Linked DNA regions of Caenorhabditis elegans. The gene in region 2 interacts genetically with the main gene of each other region. Each region holds a gene or a part of one and is shown on either strand. Other genes may lie near its edges.

Evidence for each region. A genetic interaction does not mean that the proteins touch.
Region 1: changes in mbl-1 (region 2) and fust-1 impair growth when combined (synthetic growth defect), as found in Caenorhabditis elegans (one study listed by BioGRID).
Region 3: changes in mbl-1 (region 2) and exc-7 impair growth when combined (synthetic growth defect), as found in Caenorhabditis elegans (one study listed by BioGRID).

The regions. Positions count from the first base shown.
Region 1 is NC_003280.10:7,151,042-7,156,004, reverse strand, and holds fust-1 (RNA-binding protein FUS), read right to left. Parts: upstream 3,354-4,963; 5' UTR 3,306-3,353; coding exon 3,302-3,305; intron 3,102-3,301; coding exon 2,995-3,101; intron 2,870-2,994; coding exon 2,584-2,869; intron 2,536-2,583; coding exon 2,478-2,535; intron 1,914-2,477; coding exon 1,876-1,913; intron 1,669-1,875; coding exon 1,530-1,668; intron 1,485-1,529; coding exon 875-1,484; intron 827-874; coding exon 722-826; 3' UTR 533-721; downstream 1-532. Other genes in the region: C27H5.2 (TAR DNA-binding protein 43 N-terminal domain-containing protein), read right to left, coding at 298-322; T07F8.1 (Zinc finger PHD-type domain-containing protein), read right to left, coding at 4,245-4,679, 4,724-4,963.
Region 2 is NC_003284.9:16,976,597-16,981,626, reverse strand, and holds the start of mbl-1 (Muscleblind-like protein), read right to left. Parts: upstream 3,020-5,030; coding exon 2,933-3,019; intron 1-2,932. UniProt on the Caenorhabditis elegans protein: Binds to RNA with repeat sequences 5'-CUG-3' and 5'-CCUG-3'.
Region 3 is NC_003280.10:9,574,399-9,582,002, forward strand, and holds exc-7 (RRM domain-containing protein), read left to right. Parts: upstream 1-1,572; 5' UTR 1,573-1,909; coding exon 1,910-1,969; intron 1,970-3,890; coding exon 3,891-4,068; intron 4,069-4,794; coding exon 4,795-4,898; intron 4,899-5,401; coding exon 5,402-5,555; intron 5,556-5,663; coding exon 5,664-5,955; intron 5,956-6,049; coding exon 6,050-6,473; intron 6,474-6,521; coding exon 6,522-6,680; 3' UTR 6,681-7,137; downstream 7,138-7,604. Other genes in the region: Membrane-associated tyrosine- and threonine-specific cdc2-inhibitory kinase wee-1.1, read right to left, coding at 7,567-7,604.

The sequences.
Region 1 (4,963 bases), on a different chromosome or scaffold from region 2:
AATGAAAATTAATTTAAAAAAAACTACCATTAACTTTTTTGCGCGCGAAGACCCATCTGAATAAATCCGTGTGCCTTTGTGAAGGCATGTCAGAGTCTATTTAAATTACGATGTAACTTTCTACGTTTTTATCTTCAAATTAAATGTTCGTAGAGCCTATCAATCATAAAGTTTAAGAACTATACTTTAATTCTGAATCTAAAATAACTTTCATTGATAGTTTTATATTTTTATTCTGAATATGCGAGAATAATCTTACTAAAAATCTATTCTCATAGCGATTTCTTCGAATCTTACCTTGTAGTCCTGTAATACTGCTCATTAGTCGGTCGAAGTTTCGAACGGACAGTCTCTCCCGGGTAAATTGGAAGAATGAGAGGTGGGCGCCGAGGCAAAGGGAGGTCGAGACGAAAGAGATGGAGAAGCAGATAGTGTGACGTAGAGATGAAGTGCGGAGAGAAAACAGACAGTGACACGCAAAGCAGCTGATGGGTAGGGAAATGCGGACAATTGCAAAAAAAACAGATGTTAATGTGCAAAAATTTTTATTTTCGTTAAAAATAAAAAGTGGGAAAAAATGAAATATAAAAAGAACATTGAAATTTGAATGTATCGAAGTAGAATATAAAGGTGGATATAAAATTGTTACAAGTCTCTCACATTGAAGAGATCAGAGAATTTAAATTAGATGTTAAAATTTATGGGGAGACGAGTTGATGGCTCAATATGGACGGTATCGGTCACCTCCTGGTGGTCCTCCTCGTCGCTCGCCACCACCACCTCCGGATCCTCCATCTGGTCTCGGGGCTTGGCATTGATTGCATTCCTAGAAGAAAACCCGTGTTTTTTTTTTGAAAAAACAAAATTAACTAACTCTTCTGAAAGCGAAGTTGCTATTTCCGCACTGCTCACATGGCCAGTCATTCTTCCTTTGTTCCATATTAGCATTTCCGCCACCTACTCCACGGCCTCCTCTGAATCCTCCACGATCGCCACCACGGTCGCCGCCTCGGAATCCTCCACGATCTCCTCCGCGGAAGCCTCCTCTATCACCACCTCGGAATCCTCCTCGGTCTCCGCCACGGAATCCACCGCCACCACCGCGACCACCATCGAATCCTCCACGACCACCGCCGCCGCCATATCCTCCACGATCACCGCCAAAGCCACCACGTCCTCCCATAGGACCACCACGACCACCTCCGAAACCGCCTCGTCCACCACGACCACCTCGTTCACCTCCTGCATCAGCGCGGAACTTGGCTAGTGAAATACTCATCGGGCTTGAGCCGCCAGGGAATGGTTGCCCATTGTACATAGTTATAGCTTGTTGAGCTGCAGAAGCATCGACGAATGTTATCATGCATTCTCCTTTTGGTTCTCCGGTGTTGCGATCGGTGTAAATCTTGATTCTCGGTCCGCGATCGTTCTTTGCAATATCTCCGCAGGTACTGAAGACGTCGGCGATGTAGGCTTCATTTGCACTGAAATATAGATACATTTTTTAATTGGGCGATTACAAAACATACGTGGTGGAAATTCCCTGCACAAAGACGGTCTCCTTCAACTCAACTCGCCCATCGGATCCGAATTCGCGGTTTCCTGAAGCAGCACCACCGCCTCCGTATCCTCCTCCACTTGGTGGTCCGTCACGTCGGGGTCCTCTGTCTGCAATGAAAATATGAAAACTTTTACAAACAATTTTTTCGTCCAACTGTCAATAATATAAAGCACAGGAACAAGTATTTTTATATTCGTTTAATGTTTTTTGTTTTTGAATTTCGATGATAAACTCGGTAGGATACCCATTTTTTTTTAATTTTGGTAATAAACTCGTTGTGGTACGAAAGATAAAGCAATTTACGTATTCAATACCTTGATAACCTCCTCTTCCTCCTGGAGGTCCGCCCTGTCTGCAAAACATCATTCTTGAATGGAGTCTTCTGTCTTCTTCTCTCATGCTAACACCACAGTAAAATGTTTTCAGATTTCGACCGCGCAATAATACACCTTCAATTGATTTTTTTTTGTACGCACAAACACGATCATTTAGATTTTAAGATTTTTCAAGCATGAGAGATTTCAGACAGAAGCATCTCCTGCACGCTCGAAGTCGTTTGGTAGACTTCATTTGTTCTTCACTCTTGACTCGTTTTGATACCGAACACACGTAATAATAGCTGAACTGCATAATATTTTGAAGGAAACCGGGCCATAGCCCTACAAATCGATAAAGCACAATGAATTTGTGCTTCATTGCGGACACTGACCTTTTTTCATGAAACTTACAATGACGGACACAATACATTACTCTTCGCAAGTTTTTAATAGTGAATAGATTTTGTATATGAACACTGAATACTCTGAACTCTGTAGCAGTTTCGATTTTCAACACAACACAACAATTTTTGGATGGTTAAGCAAACGAATTTGGAAATACCGCATATTGCTAACGAAACATTCAGATGTTTACCTACCGATCAGAGTTTCCGTCATCCCATCGGCTCCCACCTCGGCGTTCTCCGTCGTAGCCACCTGAAAAACATGGTTTATTATGAATACATTAATCAAACAAGAACAAACCTCTACCACCACCACGTCCTCCGCGATCACCGCCGTAACCTCCGCGTCCTCCGTCGTATCCTCCACGACTTCCGCCACGTCCACCATCATATCCACCTCCTCCACGACTGCCTCCGAATCCTCCACGGCCGCCACCTCTACTTTGCCCGTAGGGGTCAGATCCTCCGGATTGGCCTCCGGATCCTTGGCCGTATGGATCCGCTCCTGGTGGTGGTGGTGCATATGGATTTTGCGGTTGTTGTGCTTGGTCGTGGCCTCCATAAGCAGCAGCGGCGTACGGATCCTGCTGAAATTTAAACTATGAAACGTCTGTGAGCCTGGTGGTATTCAACAGCAGAACTATGCTCCTGAACAATTCTGAGCAAAGCCATGATAGTGAGGCGATCAGCCCACAAAATCTCATATACTTACATCAGGTTGACCTCCTGGTTGTTGTTGTTGTTGCTGTTGATAATAGGCCCAATACGCCTGCTGCCCTTCGGGTGTGCTGTAGTCGGGTTGACTTTGGTCGTAAGCCGCTGAAATCGATAATGTTTTCAAATAACCGGGAAACAGAAATGGCAACGCCCGTGATTTGTATTCGGGAGCTCCCACAAATTCACGCATTAACCTAATTTATAAAACATGAATGGTGTTAGGAGGATAAATAAAATACTTTCAGTGGACACTCGGATTTCGATATTCCAATAAGAAAACGACTATTAAAAAAGAAACTAACCCATTTTTGTCGATATTCAAGTCGAGGCACTCGCTACGTGTCGATGCGTTGACTGAAATTTATCCTTTGAAGAGCAAATATATCTTAAAATTAAAAGAGAAACGAGAAGAGAATGGTTGAGGACAGATGCTGTTCAAAGAAGACGGAGAACGCTGTCCAATACGCGTCGCGGTTGTGCGTCGCGTGTAGTCTCAATGGAGCGCGCACATTTGCAGTTATATCTAGATATATCTGGTTGTAGCGAACCTTGGCAGATTTCAGCGTTCTGCTCCAAAAAACTAAATTTACTGAAAAAAACAATTATACTAAAAAAAATACTTTTTAAAAAACTCCATCTAAAACTTTGATAGTGCTCATCACAAGATTTGAGCACTGCAGGGTAATAAATAGTATACATTTTAACAATTTTGAGAAATTAGGTCGAGGAAAATGAAAAATAAAGTTAACTCAAGAACAAAAATTGCAACAAATGATTACAATTTTACACAGTATCCTCGTCTCGAAATGCGCAAGCGCGACGATTGCTGGCGCGTTTCGCGTGAAATGCTGCGTCTCTCACATTTCCAAGTCTCTCGCATTTCCTTGCTCATTCTAATTCTCATCATTTTCTTCGAACAAGGTTGATTTTTTTTTCGTTTTTTTGTTTCATTTTCATGTTTACATTGCTTGTATTCGGTTTTTCTAAAATTGTATTCACTTCTTTTGAAATATTTTCATGCTGTACCCCAATCTGAACCCATTCACAACCCGTTTGTTAGTTTAGGCAATTGAAAATTAGGATTCACGCTTATCATCAACTCAAAACACTTTGTAAGTCGGAATTTAGAGATCATTCATGGCTTTTCTGCTCGTTTAATTGATTTAATCGAAAAAAAAACATGTGAGTGAGAGAGAGAGAGAGAGATGTACTATAAAAACGGTTTCCTAGAAATGTTTGCTGTCACTAGTTTCTTTTATCGGAAATATAGTTGATGTTAGCGAAATAGTCGATCATCAACTCAGCGCGTAGCTTGAGAGACATCACAGAAGAAAATCGCGTCTCTGTTGTCCTGAAGAGCACATGAAACGCTTCCATCCCTTGTTCTGAAGTACGACCCCAAGTTCTTTTTGCTCTAATGTAAGGCTCGAGGTGAGTACAGAGGATGTGAAGTTTAGGAGTGACTCCCATCGAAGGATGAAGAATTCTGATGTTTCTCTTCAAGTTCTTCAAAGTTTTAGCGAAATCATTCAAATCATCATCTGTGAAGACTGCGTTATTGCTTGCTGACATGAGTGACGCCAAATCATTCATGAAGTTTCTCATATTCTGGATCCAACTACAGTCCGTGAAGACTTTTAGTACTTTGTCAATGTTTTCTGTCCTTAGTAGTTGGCGAACCTAAAGATTAGAATATTTTCAAATACCGAAAATCACAAATTTACTTGATTTCCGGTTAATCCCTGATAGTTAATTTTTTGACTACAGCCAATATAATCCAAAACTTCCTCGAGTTTCTGTTTTGTTGGCCCAGTTCGAGTCGAAATAGCCGTTGTCATGTCTTGGCGAGCAGCTTTCAAGTTACTAAGATGGCTTGTCTCGTGTTGTAAGCGCCTGGCAAGCTCATCAAGTGCCTCATTAGCATGTTCAATCATTTCCTCATTAGAAAGAATATGTTTTTCTTG
Region 2 (5,030 bases):
GAAATTAACTCGTTTTCTATTAAGGTCATGATTTTTAACTGGTAAAAAAGTAAAACCAAAACTTTTAGTTTAGCGCCTAATGAATTCTATTTCATGTTTTTCACAAAATTATATTTCGCTGAAACAAAGACATTCAGTTTTTCATTTACCCCCCCCCCCCCCCCCATCAAGATCATTTGATCTGGAATCGGCAGTTAATAAAGATAAGAATCGACACTACAGTAATCTTCAAAATAAAACCTATCCTATCTAAGAATCTAAAACTGGAACAAAAATCAAAATCAGTACCTGTTTCCATACCATTTCACCGATGTGAAAAATGGAAAACGGTTTTTGATCGTGCCACTCAAATGAAATCAAACGAGGACAATGGAATGCATAATAGGGGGGGGGGGGGGGGGGAATTGATTCATATACAGTACGCATATATAGTATTACTGATTTGTATATTCATTTGAGGGGAAAGAGGAAGGTGATTTGTGTATGTGACAGCAGACAGGAAGATAGGTAGAACAAGAATACAACACATTTGACTAGAAACATTGAAATGGCGAAACGAAACGAGGAACGGAATATCTTCTCATTCGGTTGCCCCGTCATTTTTTTTCTCGTTCACAAAAGGAGTGAGTCGTGAAAAAAGGTTTTGAGAGACGTCTCTAGAGAGTTTCCAACACCACTTCCACTTTCTAATTATGCACTCATTGTTTTGCTAAGCTGTTGCAGAAAATTTTGTGGTAGGATTATGAAAGGATCATTATGACTCAAATTGCAATTCTTTGATGGTAAACTAAACTGGATTTGGCTAAAAAATTTTAAATGATCGAGTAGCTTTCAGAAATCGTCCAGCAACACAATGTCGCAAAAAGGAAAGAGCAAGTTCAAAAACCTTTTTCAAAATGATTCCAAAAGTTTTCATGTTCGTTTTCAAGTTTTGTCGTAGATTCTCTTAATGCATTAGTACGGACCAAAATTAACTTCAGCTGCGCATCACAGAAAGTTATGCACTATGTCAGCGCAAATTCGCTCTACGGACCAAATCCAATTATTTATGAATTTATAGAAAACAGTACAAAAACTTTTTGTTAAAAGTTTTGCTAAAACAGTTTCTTAAGGTTTTCGAGTCAATTTACCGGGCGTTGGCTAAAAGTCTAACTTGCGGAGACGCAGTGAACAGTTTTTCGTGGCACTTTCATGATCAGTTGAAAAACACTAGCTTAACAGTCCATTGATTCTTGTATAAATGCTAATTTAGAAGAAATACAAATTTTGGACCATGGATTGACTCTACTCTTTTGAATCATTACTTTATATCTCGGTTCATTTTAAAGATATCAATAATTTATTAACTACGAAAGAAAAAGAACAAACAATTATTCTGTTAGTTAACAAATTTTGAATAGAACAAACGATAGCTGAGATATAAGCTGTCAATGTTAAACAATGGGGTGCAATACTAATAGAGCACATATGGTAGCAAAATTTTTTTAACTGGCAAATTAATAGGTTTCCGTTTTTAAACAGTTATTATAAAAACACATTGTCAACTATTTTAGCCAAAGAAAAGACGCACCCGTTACAAACTTAATTTAACAAATGAATAAAAAACTAGCTTTTCGTACACAAAATTAGAATGACTAACGATGCACTATATATCAAAGAAAGAAAGTTGAGGGGTACCGACAGATGTATATTGGAAAAAAAAGTACAGTTTGTATTGTTGGAATGTTACGTTTGTGGACAGACAAAAAAATGTCGTGCTCGACGTCAAAGCAAAACATTTTCTTTCATTTTTCTCCTGTGAAAAATTTCAGGTAAATGCAGAGAGAAAGAGATAAAAAAATAGCGTTTTAAATATGTAAAGATGTATGGGATATTTTGAAAGTGCTGATACTGTTTTTAATAATTGAAAATTGTCTGAAAATTGCTCTGAAAAATAGTGAAGTACTTTTCTAATAAAACGCATAAAAGTCATGCATAAAATTGTCATTCATAGTGTTGCTCAATAGCAAGATCAGAAAATTTGTTGAAATAAGTCAATCACACATTTAAAAAGTAGTGATTGTTAACAGTCAAACTTTCAAAATTTTCGGACCAAAAATCAGGCTCGAGAATATGTTTTCAAAGGTTTTCAAAGGTTTTTTTTTTTATTTTAGCATTATAGCAGTTTAATTAATTTTCCTTACTGACAAAATTTTGCCTTTAAACCTAATAATAGAAAGCGATACAAAGGCAAGTGCATATTCATAGTACCAATTCGTGCAGTTACTTCTTAGTAACTTTAGTATCAAAAAATTAAATACTAAAATCAAAATAATAGATGAAGTACGGCAAGTTGAAAATGATTAAAAACCATTCCTGTAATCCAAAAGTTACTAAATATGTAGCAAAACTATTTTTAAATAAAATTTTTTATTTCGAGTCTAAAAATGTTGGAAACTTATCTTCTATCAATTTTTAGAAGTCGAAGAAGAATTTTTAGAAAAAAAATTCCTACGAATTTTGTTTTTTTTTTGCGGAAATTGTTGCAAATCAATATTTAAATACGGTAGGGATTCGAATATGCGGATTCAAACATGTGAAAGTTTTCTCAAAAAATCTCAAACTTTTCTGTAATAGCCATTTTTTGACTGTCAATAAATCATTCTCAAATAAAACATTGTTTTTCTATGATAATTGGCTATTTTTGCCAACATTTCAGTAGTTTCAACATTTTTTTCCACTGATAATAGTTTCAAAAGTACTGATGTAAACTTTTTTTGACATTTAGCTGTTACACCAGGAAAGACAATCATTCTTCAAAATTAAACAAAACTATATGTTTCGATTGCCCTTTTTTCTTTTCTACATGTGCGCAACACCTGGTGCTCTGTCAGAACGTACACTTGTGCCGCAACCTTTCACGTATGTTTGACTAAAAAAGTGATTCACTCACAGTTTCTTGGTCGATTCGAGCCTTCTTGAACACCGTCCCCTTCTTATTTTGTCGCCTGATACGTCTTTTTAAGGATCTACGAGACATTGCTGAAATTGAGAGGAAGATTGATTAGTCATCAGCAGCCAACAATAACCAATGGATTTGTGGAGTTGCTCGAAAAAATGCTCGTGATTATATTTTCTCGTTGGGGGACGTGAAAAAAGCACTCTTTGCGTTGTAAACTCTTATGTGATAGATATGTGATAAGTTTTAGCGGTATGTAGGGTAGGAGGGAGGCAACGAGAATAATGGGACGTTGGGAGTAGACGATGAAAAATGATAATGGAATTTTCAAGAGTTGAGAACACTTAAAACTACTAACAAGATTAAATGGGTTTTTTTGGCGGAAATTGGGTAAGTTTTTGAAAACTTGAGATTTTTAACAACGACTAATTTTTAAAGATATTCAGACTTTTGGAAGAAACTTATAATGTTTGTAAGATAATCTTTGAAATACATAGGCTACCACAAGAAAATTGATTTCATTTTTAGTGAAGCATTTGTTGAAGGGCCATTTAAAAAGGTTATTTCCCAAAAAAAAACTACATATTTGAAAACTTTAAACAGATTGATGTTTTTATTTTGCAAGATGTGTAATAGTGTATTCTATACTAATAGAACTGATATATATATTAGAGATTGTAAGAATGCTTTCTGAGCATTCTTACAATTTTGAATGAAAAATAAAAAAATAAAAATGATGTTTGCCTGCAAAATTCTGCAAAAAAATTTGCCGTTAAAAAAATGAATTCGAAAGTTAATTTCTCAGCATACACAAAGACCGAAAATTAAATAATTTTTTGAAACTCGAATTAATTTTTCAAATCAATGGTTCCTGTTTTTATACAGAACAAATGCGAAACTTCACAACAAAAGTACACAATTTAAAAACCAAAAACCTGATGTTTCCCAACTGGGGGAAGTGTATGCCTGTCTTCGGCTGATTTATGACTTGACAACGTGTGTGCGCTACTTGCTCACACGTTGTATTGAAACGTGACTTCAGAATAGACACAAGGAATTAATCAGCGCATAACACAGCTATTATGGAATGATGATGAAGTTGAAGGTGGAGTAGCGTAAATGAAAAACTTGTTTTAAAGTACCGAAAATAGTCTGCAATTCACGATAACCACGAATTAACAATGCAGAAAAGTTAAGAAAAAAAATTAAATTCAAAAAATAAAATATTTTTTTCCTTGAAAAAAATTACACTCAAAATAAAAAACTGCGTGGCGTGTACTGCAGAAAACCTAATATTCTTTTTCTCGTCCACCCACGGAGAAAAGACAAAATTCGGGCCCCAACCAATATCAGGCCGCCGACATATCACGGGTTCCGCCCGCCGCTATGTTTAACTCGCAACGTGACAGCTCGCCATGACCACAGCGAGTTAAACGCTGCGGCGCGCGGAACCCGTACGATGTCGGCGGTCTGATATTGGTTGGTGTCCCGAATTTTGTCTTTTCTCCGTGGGTGGACGAGAAAAAGAATATTAGGTTTTCTGCAGTACACGCCACGCGGTTTTTTTTTATTTTAAGTGTATTTCTTAAATAAAGTGTTTATCATGATGCTCTAAATTATTCCAGTCATTAGCTTGCCTGTTGGTCTGTTAATTTAAGGCATTTTTGCTAAAACTGAGTAGTATTTTTAAATGATCCGATAGTTCCCGGAGGTATGAAACTTTGAAAACCATAATTCTATTAATTAATTAACTATATACTCTATAGTTTTCTTAAATGTCTTACATACGATTTTCATACCCCCAAATCATTTCTCAAAGGAAAATCTCAGCATGTTGCTTCCAGTCTTTCTTATTTTTTTCTTTCAATATGACCTTTCAACAATCCACTTGAACGTATCTCGGTCGCTTCTCGGATATCTATTTTCAACGTTTTCCCGCCACCGGTGTGTCCATTGTCCTCCGGCGAATATGGCAAAAAAACCGGTCTTGCTCTTTCCAATCTTGATCTTCAGTTTTTGTTTCAATATTCAGCCTGCTCTATTTTAGTTCATGGACTCATAGACAACTTATGGGTTTGTTTCAAAAACAGTT
Region 3 (7,604 bases), on a different chromosome or scaffold from region 2:
GTAGTTTGAAGTACTTAGTAGTCATTTATCTCAAACCAAAAGTCCAAATGGAAGGGCCATACCTAATTATTGGGAACGGATCGAAGGCATGAAATACTGTATCCTGTAAAAGGGCCTGAGCAATTATGAATCTCGCCGACGCGGGGGTACGTACTCTCATCCGGCCGCCCTCTCCTCTGCACCACTTTTCACACAACAATATGGGGGCCACCCCCCTCTACCTAACTAACACATAATTGAGTCCCCCTCTCTACCTATTCAGGTTTTGTTGTTCATTCAACTGTGCGTGTCGTGTGTATTTGTATGGGGTGGGACGAGAGGCGGTGAAGAAGAGGACTAATGGAAAACCACAATTGAAGAGTGCGTTTCATCGTCGATCACCGTTTCTATGGTAGTTATTTTGAGATGACAATGATGTCGATTTTTTTTATTGTTTCCTAGCATTCCATAGTGACCAATTGCCAAAGTTTTGTGCTTAGACAGGTTTTGGGATATTCTCAAGATCAGCGGAATCCTTTTTTTTTGTTGCAAAATTGCAGAAGCATTTGGATATTTTCTTGACTAGATGGTGCAAACTTGCGATGGAGTGTTTCCAGTTCAAGAAAACTGGAATCGGAGCAAGTAACAGGGTTACTGTAGAATGGTTGATGGTATTCTATAGGTTTATTTAACTCGTTCTTTCGTAGCCCCTACGTTTCTTTAAAAATTCAAACTTCCCAGAGCCACAAAATTTCCACCGGGCTTCACGTATTCCCTCTTACCGAACACCTATTCAAATACGTGTCATCTTCAATCCTTTTCCCCTATATCCTTCACTAACCAGGTCAGTCATGTTTGATCAACCATTGTTTCCACACCTGCCCTCACAAAAATCCTCAATCATGATGCGCTCTTATTCTTTTTTCTATGATGTTGGAAATTATGAAATTCAGCTTTCACACTGTATTCTTGTAATGTCTGGACCCTCACTATACACTTATTCAAGCCGTAATTGGCGTGTATACGTATCCATATAATGTGTCAAGTTCACCTGTTTCCTTCATTTCCGTCTGAGCACATGATCCAAAATCTTATACAACTGAATTCCTTTATATAGATTGTGGAAAGTTTCCTGCAATTTCTAGTAGTTCTTGTTTCCTAGTCTTTCGGCTTCTTATCTGCCTTTTTAAAACTTTACCTACCTCATAATCCGTACAGTTCCCATTTTACCTGTTACACACATACACAGGTATTTAGAAACTAAGCATCATACCAGCAATAATAAAAACAATAAATGTTCTTTTCATTGGCAATGAGATATATTCATGCGTCTATGTAAACCAATAACAAAGCTAATTAGAATTGAAAACAACAGGGAATTGAGTGGCAGAGTATAGGTATGTCATGCTGTGCGCTGCCATAATTCTGCAGCTTCAGTTGAGTGGAGTAGGATTGTGAAAAATCATGGTGTACAACTAGTTCTGTAAAGTTTCACTGATATTAAACGTTTTCCATTTACTTTTATTTCACTTCTATTTTTCTTGCTCTCTGATATGTTTTTTTAAATTAATTATCAAACCTATGAAATTACAGATCCATCTCCCCTAGTCTCGGCCGGCCCAAAACGAACGGAGCATATACGGGGAGCCGCGGCACACAAACATACACAAAATATAAATAGGCCACGCCCATTTGTGCATATTTCTACATATATCCTCGCGACGGGCCCCCCGCCCCCCTGAGCCCCTTTTCCTCTTCCTTCTCTTTGCTCTCACAACAACCGGAGCTCTTTCTTTTTGAAAAGAGCCCTCTTTTGTTTCCTGACAGACCAAGTGGAAGAAGTGGTGGTGTGTCAACTTCAGAAGACAACGAACGACGCATTTTTGGATAGGAAATTCGAATTTTTGAATTCCAAAATTCGGTCTTCAAAATGACGATGGAAGCGTTGCTAACACCGAATAACAACAATGTTCCGACGAGTCCCGTTCAGGTAATTTTTTTTTTCAATTTTTATTAGGAAAGATCTATATGAAAGTCCAGAAGCAGTAGAAAAAAAAAACAAAAATAAATACGGTTTTCAAAATCTTTGAACATTGAGGTCTACAAAAAGTCCAGAAATCTACTCGACTGTAACATTTCATATTTTGGTTGCCTAAGATTTTATCAACAAAAATTCAACTAATAAAATATAGAACCATAGCAAAGATACACATTTTAAAAGTAGAACAGTAAACTGCGGTAATTTTGAAGAGCTGTAAGTTTGTTACAGGTTCTAACTGTGAATGGTTTTTTTATTAGTTAAATTAAAAGTTTAAAAAAAGCTTTTAGAACCTGATCATGACAGTTGTTTAAAATTCGGACTAGGTAAACTGGATGCTTAGGCTCCGTTCAGATCTAAAAGCTAAACAAATTGTTGAGCCTTGAATTCTAGTAATAACCATAAATCTGAATATTGTTTCTTCCCCAATGTCCAATCCGTCAGTGAGCCCGAGTCCAAACTTGGTATACATGCGTGTGCATTTGACGTGTCATTCTTTCAAGAAAGCTTCCCAATTCCCAAATGCCAATTTTTCAAAATCCGAGAAGCCTTCTTCCTTACTCTTCTTCTCTTTTCTCCGCCTTTCCGAACCACTCCTTTTCGAAAATACGTCCCATTCATTACGCCTTGAGGGAGGAATGAGGGAGGAATAAGGACCAAAAATAAAAATATTTGTTTTGTGAAAGAGCTCAGAAGCTCAGATTCCTGCGTGCTCATCCACCTATATTATGATGATGTGTTGTGGTGTTGGTGGATGGGAGTGGAAATGACATGAAAATTAAAATATGGAGAGAAAAATTGAAAAATAACAAGAGAATACTAGATTTTTAGATTTCCTGTTGAAAATTGTTTTCTTTTTTTCTAAAAAGTTTTTTGATTATTGAAAAAATATAGCTGAATTAACAATATCATAATTGTGCAATATATGACTAATGAAATTGGTAGAAACGAAGTTTTTTTTTTAATTTAAATTTCTAGAGGTACTATATATATGGAATATTCTAAAACTCAGCGATTTTCTTCAGTTTTTTTGAAGTGTTTCTTCAAAAAATTGATAGAAGACCTATAAATTAAAATTTAAAAACTTTTAAAATTTTGTGAAAATTCAATTCGAAATCTACTAGAATTTATATCACAGTTTTGCTAAATTACGTTCCTCCTCAATACCGGACGGTTCAAAATTTTATTTCTATAAAACGCATATGGAACTCTTTAATCAAAGATCCTATAAAAAACTCTTAAAGTCTATTCATTCCAACAGCGTAGAAAAAAACGTTTGCATATATTTCATTTCATACATTATTCCCTCTCAAATACCCATGGGTATTGTTGCTCTTCCAGTGAGCACACCAGGAGGTGGGAAGAACATGCGGGGGGCTCCATCTCTTCCATATAGACTTGCTCACGCACAGGAAATTTGAGACGTGGCCAAATAATGGACAGCGAAATGGATGAATTCTCCGGTTACTTGTACCGAAGAGCCCTCCCGCGCGCGAGAAAAGAATTGAAATTGAAAATTGAGATCTCCCGGTGGAATGAAAGATTGGAAATCATAGGGGAAATATTTTTGGGTCAGATGTAACCTCCAAAAATGGAATATATAGTCAGATTGGACAAAGATGGCAGAAAAACATAATAATTTATTTATTCCCAAATGAAAAAAATGAACAATTTCCGGGGTTACCGACGCTTCTCACCAATGCTAGGCACCCGAAAATATACGAGGTGTATTATTTATGTAAATTGACAAAAACGGGACTTCTATCTAGGGAGTTCAGAATTTTTTACATCTGAAAATCGTAGATTTTCATTCGAAAAACCGGGACCATTATACAAAAATCGCTTTTAAATTTTAAATTTATATTTTTTGCAGACAACCTACACAAGTACACAACGATACTGCTCCGCGCCAAATGTGGATATTGGAGAATCAAAAACAAATTTAATTATCAATTATCTGCCACAAGGAATGACACAAGAAGAAGTTCGGTCCCTTTTCACATCGATCGGAGAAATTGAATCTTGTAAATTGGTCAGAGATAAAGTAACAGGTGAGGAGGAACTTCTATATTATTCATTATTTTATTTTAAACTTATATATTTTCGAAATCCAAACATTATCTAGCTAGATCACCCCTTGCCTTATCATTTTTATTTCTGACTGATTTTTGATTCCCAACCACGAATTGAGTTGCTCTAACCGTTTTTTGTGTCTCGCCGAAAAAGTTTAGCATGAAACTAGATTTTGACGCCTCTTTTCTGATAGATCACAAATAATTTTATTTTCTTCTTTCGGATCGATTTTTGTAAATCTGTACATGTGTGCGTGTGTGATTGCTGCTGCCCCGCCCGCCCTACTCCCCCTAAAGTTTTTCATTTTTCGGTTATTACTTTTTTCCGTGATGTTCTGATATTCGTTTCAACTTTTCATTATTTTTTTCAAAATCACTCACACACACACACAATTGTACACCAAGAATTCACATTCACTTTTTGTGCTAAACATTTTTGAATAGGGATTGTTAAAATTCTAAAGTTGTGATATCTAAATACTTTTTTGGAATAGTTTCATACCATTAAATCATGTGAACTAATTTAGAATAAGCAGCAAACTGTTTGTAGCAAAAAGATGTAGGGAGATTATTTTTCAGAAAGAGAGCTCTACAAATACAATCAGAAAATCTAAACCCGTAACCTATAAATAATTGTTCTTTTGTTATATTTTCACACTCTTTCTCTCTCTTCTCTCTTCGGCATTTGGTGTTTTTTCATTTCAGGACAGTCCCTTGGTTACGGTTTTGTTAATTACGTCCGAGAAGAGGATGCTCTTCGTGCAGTCAGCTCATTCAATGGCCTACGATTGCAGAATAAGACGATCAAGGTGTCAACTTTTTTTTTTTTTTTTCGGAAAAATATTATTATTTTTAGTTGATTTACATGCTACTTGTCTTTTACTTTACTTTCACTCTTTTTTATTTTCAAAAAAAGTTTTTAATTTTTCAATTGTTTGGGTGTTCCTTTGACTATTAGAAAACACCCCCTTGCTCCTGTTGTGCAATTTTTGTTTTAAGTTTTCAATCTTTTTATTTTAATATTTTAATTTCAAAATTTAATTTCAACTTTAATTTCGCGAAACCCCTTTCCCGATTTATAATGATTTTAGCTTCTAAATGTGTGTCTAAACGTCCGTTAAACGTCTCACGTCTTTCAAACAATCACTAATAGGAGCAATAGATGTGCACAAAACGCTTAGAAAATGTTTAATTATATTTTTACTTGAAAATTCGCATTCTTCATATATGTAAAAGAAAAACATTCACTGGTAAAAATACAAAGTTAAATTTTAGAATATTAAAATTGTAATCTATAACTTGAAATTTTCAGGTATCATATGCCCGTCCATCAAATGATCAAATCAAAGGTTCAAACTTATATGTTTCTGGAATTCCAAAATCGATGACTCTGCACGAATTGGAATCGATTTTTCGGCCATTTGGACAGATTATCACATCTCGAATATTGTCAGATAATGTAACTGGTGTGTTTTTAAAATTATGTGAAATGTGTAAATTTTCAAAATTAAGAAAAATATAGTTGATTGTTTACGGAATATAATTTGTTTCATTTTTTATTAGAGCTATTTCAGGACTCTCAAAAGGCGTTGGATTTGTACGTTTCGACAAAAAAGACGAAGCTGATGTTGCAATTAAAACACTAAATGGAAGTATTCCATCAGGATGTTCAGAGCAAATCACAGTGAAATTCGCAAATAATCCAGCAAGTAACAATCCGAAAGGACTGCTGAGTGATCTGGAAGCCGTACAGCAAGCCGCCACAACACTGGTACCATTGAGCACAATTCTTGGAGCACCGACGCTGAGAGCAACTGCTGGAGGAATCGGACCGATGCACCATGCTCCAATTACTTCAAAGTACAGGTAAGCCCGAAGAAATCTTGATTGATAATAATTGTATTTTCAAGTTTGTATATTCTTCTTTTTACATTTTCAAGACCAATTTCCAATATTTCAGATATTCCCCAATGGGCGCCATCACTGCAGTATCCCAGCCAACCGCTACACTTCCTGCTGACTATTTGACAACTTCTGCGCTTCTTCAGATGTCTCAGTTGAATGCTCTTGCTGGCCTGAACCCTTTTGCCACAGCAACAGCCGTACCTGATTTCACAGCTTCATTAATAGCGCATCAGCAACAACAACACGCAGTTGCTCAACAACATGCTGCACAAACAGCGAGCCCTCCGGCAACAAATGGACAAGTTGCTGGATTAGCAGCTCATGCTCAGTTATCTGCATTGTCAGCTTCAGTTGCTGCCACGTTACCGCCATCAGATACTGCTGGATATTGCCTTTTCGTATATAATCTTTCATCAGATACTGATGATACACTGTTATGGCAGTTATTCTCACAGTTTGGAGCAATTGTTAATGTTAAGGTAAGCAAGAAATTTTAAATGGAAAATTTTTTACTTGAAATATTTGAGATTCTACGAGACCTGACACAACAGTGCAAAGGATATGCATTTGTATCGATGAGCAACTACACAGAAGCCTATAATGCAATGCTTTCTCTGAATGGCACAAATTTGGCTGGAAAGACGCTTCAAGTAGTTTTCAAGTCATCAACTCCATATCGAGCTTAAACTTTTTTGCAAAAATATTCTAATTTCAATCATTCCAGTCACTTGTCTCCCATTCTCTTTTCATTTTCTTCTTCTTCCCCAACCAAAGAAATTGTGATTTTCCCCCTCTGAAATTCCAGTCACTTTTTGTGTGCTACTAGTCACCCCCCCCCCCCCCCCATTGTGTTCCATCCCCTTTCATGAGCAACTGTGAGCAAAACCAATCGAATTCCGGTAACGAAATAAGCCACGCCCCTTGAGAATAATGAGCTTCTGCCCACCCCTGTCCCAAAACCTTGAATCAGCTTTAACATCTTCAAAACTTTTATCAATTTTACCTAAAATATGCCAAATCCTCCGTCACTTTTCAGTATTTCGTACAGTTTTCTGATTTTTATACTGGGTTCCTTGTTTTTCTTTTACAAAGATTTTTTGAAATATTAAAACTAAAATGTGTATAATAAAAATTGTATACCAATTTCAGTGATAAATAATTTATTTTATAGAAAAAAGAAGAACAAAGCTGATGATTAAAACTGAACTCGATTTTCTGATTGGAAGAACTTGTACCAATCGATGATATGAGATGTTAAAAACTGGAATTGATATTTAACCGATTGAACCTGAATGAAAAACAACGGACCTGAAAATTAAATTATTATTTTAAATTGACATTTTGAAAATTTCCCCCGTAATTTTATTGCAATTTTAATTGAAAGTTTATTAATTGTGAAATGTGCTTTTTAAGATGTTGCAAACACCTAATTACTATTTTCACTTTTGAGATATGTTAATTTCTAAATAACTTTTTTTTAATTTCCTAATTTTAATTTTCAAAAGTCAAAATAACAAACGAATTTTATAAAAGAAAAAAGAGCAAACTTACCTGTTAACTTACATTCCCTTCCTATTCATCAAATAAATTTTTCCGTTGGAATAACTTTT